2 linked regions of the Tribolium castaneum genome follow. The protein of the gene in region 1 binds, or shares a complex with, the protein of each later gene. Links are inferred from orthologs where the notes say so. Each region holds a gene or a part of one and is shown on either strand. Other genes may lie near its edges. The genes, in order: ND-ACP and bcn92.

Region 1 (3,071 bases):
TACAACTCACTTGCCTTCAGTGTATTATCAAACATCCAGAATTGTACAAACAGTTCAAGAGCATCCCTGGATTAGCTAAAATCTACGAACACAATTTTTTCTGGATGCTTCCGAAAGGTGACTTAACTGTTAATAAAAACCAAGCTTTATTGTTTCTTTAGAATATGAGGACCCTAAACGAAAGGCTAAAGAAAACATATGGTCGTCCAAGCGACGAAAAATGCTGATACCGATCAAGTGGCCGCGCTGTCTCGACTCTGAACAACAAACGCTCAAGATCTCGTTACATTTCACCAACTATAGTGACTCAGAAAGTAGCTGTGATATGAATTATGATGGTTCCGGAGATGCATCAACTTCAAAGGAGGTTTAATAAAGATTTATTCATATTGAGTCTTTCATTGACCAATCCGAGTGCATTATGACGAGCACGTGACAATTCACGACCAATGGGAATGTAATGATCGTTTGACAGTTGGTAGAAAAATAGCGTATGTAATACAATGAAAACACTCAGTTAAAATTTACGCTTTATTAACAAATCAAATTACATTATGGTGCAATTCTGGCAAATCAGTGCCAAAACAAACACAACATTAAGCCTTATCTACTGTTTTACTACAAACCTATTCGTAAATGTCTTCCCTGTCCGCAACATACCTCACGATATCAGCGGGTTTTAGCAGTTTTTCGGCGTCTCCGTCTGGAATTTCGAACCCGAATTCGTCCTCCATGGCCATGATCACCTCCACATGGTCCAAGGAATCAAGCCCCAGATCATTAATAAAGTGTGAGTCTAGCGTGAGCTGAAACGAGTCAATCGTAACACGTCCGTCAGGATCATTCCAGAGACTGTGCCACAAAGTGCAAAATTACCGTACCTTGTCTGGATTGACTTTATCGTACAGTTTTAATACCAAGAGGACGCGGTCTGTGATAAGTTTTAAAGTCAACGGTGGCTTGGAACTGTAACATCGCTCAAGTGGCAAAACCAGTCTCTGAAATAGAAAATTATGTAGTACCTTGTCGGCGGTTACTTTATCATAAGACGCGCAAACTTTCAAAACTCTCTGTTTTATCTCCTCTTCAGTCGGTTTCGTCCGAATTACTTCAGGCGAGTAGAATCGCATCTAATAAAGTGAGGTTAGAAGTTATGTAATCACAAAAAACGCACTTTTTTCCACCAAATCACCCTAATTGAACGGAAATGCAACCGCTAATCGGACAAACTGGACGTACCTGGCTAAGGGGTGCAAATACTGAGCTGCTTGTAACCGGGGGCTGGTCATAATTTTTGTGTTTATTGGCAATGACAGTCAGTGGCCTAATCGCAACAGCTCGTAAATAACTCGAATTTCGGGATAAAACGCGCACGCTTTTTATCAAACCGGACATTTTTGCAAATATTGTTATTCAAAAACTTGGCCTAAATGTCAGCAAATGTCGAGAGGCGGAAACACACAGCGACATCTACGACGTCCGGTCGACTGTCAATCTTGAAAGCCGCGAAACTAAATTATATGTTTAGGTTAACGCAAAAAAATAAATTGCGTTCCCATTACTAGAGAAATGGCATAGAATTAAGAATTTTACTAGCCCCAAGTCACTAAATGAGCCTCTATGGCCCCCAATGACAATGAATTGAAGTACGAAAAGTGTGCTTTGGATTAATTTTACGTTTCATTGTTTTAAGACGCTACACAAAAAAAACCAATTTTACTTCAACTGGTGTTTATTTACAATAAATGCGTTAAATAATTTAACGGTAAGTCACCTTTTACGTTTTTGTGTTTGTTGATCTTAAAACCATTAACTTGTAAGTGTTGTAAGTCGTAGTTTCGTTTTTGTGGTTATTGCAGTTAACGTTGGGTAGAGGACTTTGTATTTTCGGGAAATTTATTATTTATTAGTTTATGAGAGTTGGTTTTAAATTACTTGCGCGAATTTTGCGCTTTTGCCTCATTGCTGCCACCTGTGAGCGGCAATAATCCCACTCTTCCACCATCGTCTGTCAAAGGTGTCTGGTGCCTCAATGAGAACGATTTTGTAGTTTTATACTTAATATTTTATGTTATTTATAAAATTGTAACTGGCGCAATGTCAGAGAACGGCAGCCCCACGTTATTAAATTTGCGCGATTTCCGAATACAAAAAAAGACGTTAAGTCACCACAGTAACAACGGTGCAATTAGCTCCGGTAAGACCAAGTTCATTTTAATTAATAAACTGTTAAACATTGTTTCCAGCATCCAATGGGGCTGTGAGGCGCCGAATAATTGCATTTTCAGATTCTGATTCCGACTGTGATAGTTCTGGAACAAATTCTCAATCTGCGGTGACTCCAAAACCAAATATTGTCATTGTCCCCAATTCGAAAAATATGAAGAATCCGGCCGTTTTGGAGAAGGAGAACCAGATGAAGTATTTAATGTCGTCATTCCCGAATGTTGATGCTATGGTACTGGAGCATGAAATTAGTTTCCTTAAGTGGCGTTTTTAATCTAGGTTATTCACGATGTGCTGTCTCGTCATGGGTTTAAAGTAGACGAAGCGGCGTCGGAGTTGGCCAGGTGTCACGCTGTCGAATTCAATTCGCAAGGTTACGCCAAGTGGAAGGAAGCGAACACTTCAAACAATCCCGAAAGCCTGGTGAAAAGCACTGGCAAGAGGAAACCCTCCCCTGAGAGCGCGCCCTACAACAAACGGAAAAAATGTAACTAGCTTAACAAGATAAAGCCCGGAAAAAAAAAACGTTAATTGAGAAACTTGTTTTTGCAAAATCTCGCTTTTATAATCGTGTCTTTTTTTGGCGGTCAAGCAATTTTCAAGCAGCTATTTCTGGTAAAAAAAAATAATTCTTTGTAGTTAAACGTCGGAAGTCCGATGACGACACGGACGACAGCACTGGCAGCAATCAGGACTTCAAAGACCGTCGCGTGTTTGACAGTGACGAGGATTCGGACGTCGAAATTAGCGATGAATTAACCGGGGACAAGAGGAAAGTTTTTGAATTCATGCAAACGGCAACTGAAAGCGAGCTCCAATTGATGAGTTTCTGTTCAAAAAAGAAG
Region 2 (2,476 bases), on another chromosome or scaffold:
GGTTTGTTCCAGTGAATTCTGGGCTCATTTGACGTATTATGGCAGCTTTTCACAAGATTTTAAATTTTGGAAGTCACGACCAAACGCAAATATTATTAAGACCGACAAACAAACCTAAGACAGTCATGTCGAGATAGCGCAGGTCGCACTGCACCCACTGCGGGGGGTACAAGGTAGTGCTTTCTTTTGGGGCCACTGAGACGGCGGTGGCGGCCGGGGCTACGCCCTCCGTTTGCCCACAGCGATCGACTTCATAGTGGACGTATTTACAAGTGTCCATGTGGAAACAAGTGTTAAGGAAGGAACAATCCCCTAAAGCTTCGTCAGTGTGTTTTTGTATGATTTTTTTAAAATGCAATTTTTTGCAGTCTGTGATTCCGTTTCGTTCGCAGTCGGCGCGAGTCCCATGGGGGCAAAACTCCATCAGTTGTTTGCCCCCTTGAGACCTGAAGCGCTCGGCCAGCGAACGCTCTTTGGCCGTTGGTTTACTCAACAGATCTAGAATTTCTTCGCCCAGTTTTTTACTCTCTTTTTCTTTCGTTGAGGGCATTGATAGTAAAGACTAGGGAAATTAATTAATTAAAAGGACAGAATCAATCAGTTAATTACCATGATGTCAGCTTTTGGTTCCTTCTTCTCTTTTTTCCTCTTCTCTTCGTCTTCGTTTTTCTCCGAGTCGTTTCGCTTCCGCTTCAGGGATTCCCTCACCCGTTCAGGCAAAAACTCCGCAATCATTGCGTTAACTTTAGTCACATCGATAAAAGTCACTTCGACCACGTTCTTCCCCTCTTTGACTAAATCCTTGATAGTGATCAACTTCTGAGTTGAGAATTTTTGCAACAAATTGCAAACTTCCTTATGTGAGGCATGTCGCTTCAAAGTCAATTTCAACGAATCGACCAATTCCGTCGAAGTTGTGGGGATCTGAAGAGTGACTTCGCTCAGCGCCTTCAACAACTCTTTCTCCAGCTCTGGGTCGATTTTCACCAAATCGATTTCACCCTCCTCTGGTCTTTTAACATCTTCGCCCCCAACACCACCCGCATGGGGGCTGTCGGACAGGTGCACAGGTGACGAGTTGAGACTCGAACCAAGGATGTCCTGCCGCTCCTTCTTGCGCTTTTCCAGGCGTTCGCGCAGGATGTTCCGCTTGCTTTTGATAGCTTGGATCTCTTCCCAAGCGTCCGACATTTCAAAAGACTATTTTCCGCCAAAAAAACACAACTAACACATGTTTGAGGTTACGGCTAACGCTAACTAACACAACCTCAACTCTTTGGTTATGTTCTTTCGGTTTCGTAAAATTGGGGCAAAATGAGTAAAAGACAGGCGTTGCAGTTGTATAAAGCTCTGATTCGCGAGTCGAAGAAGTTTCCGGCTTATAACTTCAGGTAAGGGCGTTTTTGCAAACGATTTTTTCATTGGGGGTTGTAGACACTATGCCTTAAGGAAGATAAGGGACAGTTTTCGGGAAAATAGACAATTGACTGACCAGGACGTGATTAGGCAAAAAATGGATGAAGGAGTTCGTAATTTAGATGTAATTAAAAGACAGGTATTCACAATTAATTCGTTTAGGGGTTAATTGACGTAATTATCTCCAGGTGGTCGTAAGTCAATTATATAGCACCGAAAAACTGGTTATTGAGCACGTGAGGGCCCAAAAAAACTAATTTGTAAGGTTTGTAATGGTTAGAAATAATAAGAGTAATTGTTTGATTTTTTATTTCTTCTTATCAATTGACTTGACTAAGCCTTTTCCCACAATATAAAAGTCTTCAATCAACGCATCCACGTTCAGCTCCAATTTTCCATTCACAAGTTTCCTCCCGCTTGCATAAGACACCTAAAAATAAATGTAATAAATCAAAAAACATCTAAAAATCTCACCTTGAAGTCTCGACTTTCCAAAGCTTTAGGTATCCACAAAACCCCGATAAAATTACCTCCGTACGTATCGTGGAAAAAATTGGCAAAATCGCCGTAATGTTTGCGCAGTTCGGCCAAATACAACTGAACTGGGTTAAAGCCAGTGACTGGAATTTTCGTGCTTTCGTTTCTGTTAAATTCCTCCAAAACAATTTGCCCCTCGGACTCGTCCCCAGTGACTTGTTCGTGTCGTACGGGGTTCAAAAGGGGGCGCAAGTGAATAATAACATCGTACCCCTCAAGATTCGGAATAAACAAGCTTTTAATTGAACCAAAACTCTCTCCTTTGATGATTTGCCCAAAACAATTCAAAGACTCACTTGCCAGTTGTTTGACCCTCCGCAAGACCAACTTCGAGGGCCCCCTTTTGGTAAAAACAGACTCACAGCCGTCGTACGGCATTGCGATAAATAAATCGGGCAAAGCCTCGCGATTTTGGAGGAGTTTCGAGTCGATTTCTGCAAGTGTCTCACTTGCAATCTCATTGTTGAAATTGACCACAACCGCCTGAATATCGCACTGAAGCTCGCTAACAAATTTCAAAAAT

The links.
Region 2: the proteins of ND-ACP (region 1) and bcn92 are in contact, whole or in part, in a crystal structure (PDB 6ODD), measured with the Homo sapiens proteins. The link is inferred for Tribolium castaneum from reciprocal best matches to the Homo sapiens genes NDUFAB1 and LYRM4. Residues at the interface, in NP_004994.1 of Homo sapiens: Lys92, Asp111, Ser112, Leu113, Asp114, Val116, Glu117, Met120, Glu123, Asp124, Glu129, Ile130, Asp132; in NP_065141.3 of Homo sapiens: Arg6, Leu10, Ser11, Tyr13, Arg14, Leu17, Arg18, Lys21, Arg37, Phe40, Arg41, Lys44.

Annotation. Positions count from the first base shown.
Region 1 is NC_087399.1:2,701,033-2,704,103, reverse strand, and holds ND-ACP (mitochondrial acyl carrier protein 1), read right to left. Parts: upstream 1,437-3,071; 5' UTR 1,396-1,436; coding exon 1,240-1,395; intron 1,131-1,239; coding exon of another isoform or gene 1,023-1,130; intron 999-1,022; coding exon 882-998; intron 807-881; coding exon 627-806; 3' UTR 572-626; downstream 1-571. Other genes in the region: SPRY domain-containing SOCS box protein 3, read left to right, coding at 1-117, 162-373; SWI/SNF-related matrix-associated actin-dependent regulator of chromatin subfamily A containing DEAD/H box 1 homolog, read left to right, coding at 2,098-2,197, 2,247-2,458, 2,506-2,713, 2,866-3,071. UniProt on the Homo sapiens protein: Carrier of the growing fatty acid chain in fatty acid biosynthesis.
Region 2 is NC_087396.1:23,067,405-23,069,880, reverse strand, and holds bcn92 (protein bcn92), read left to right. Parts: upstream 1-1,248; 5' UTR 1,249-1,314; coding exon 1,315-1,391; intron 1,392-1,434; coding exon 1,435-1,555; intron 1,556-1,604; coding exon 1,605-1,673; 3' UTR 1,674-1,723; downstream 1,724-2,476. Other genes in the region: Mettl3 (N6-adenosine-methyltransferase catalytic subunit), read right to left, coding at 115-562, 610-1,191; Mat89Ba (nucleolar protein 6), read right to left, coding at 1,724-1,846, 1,891-2,476.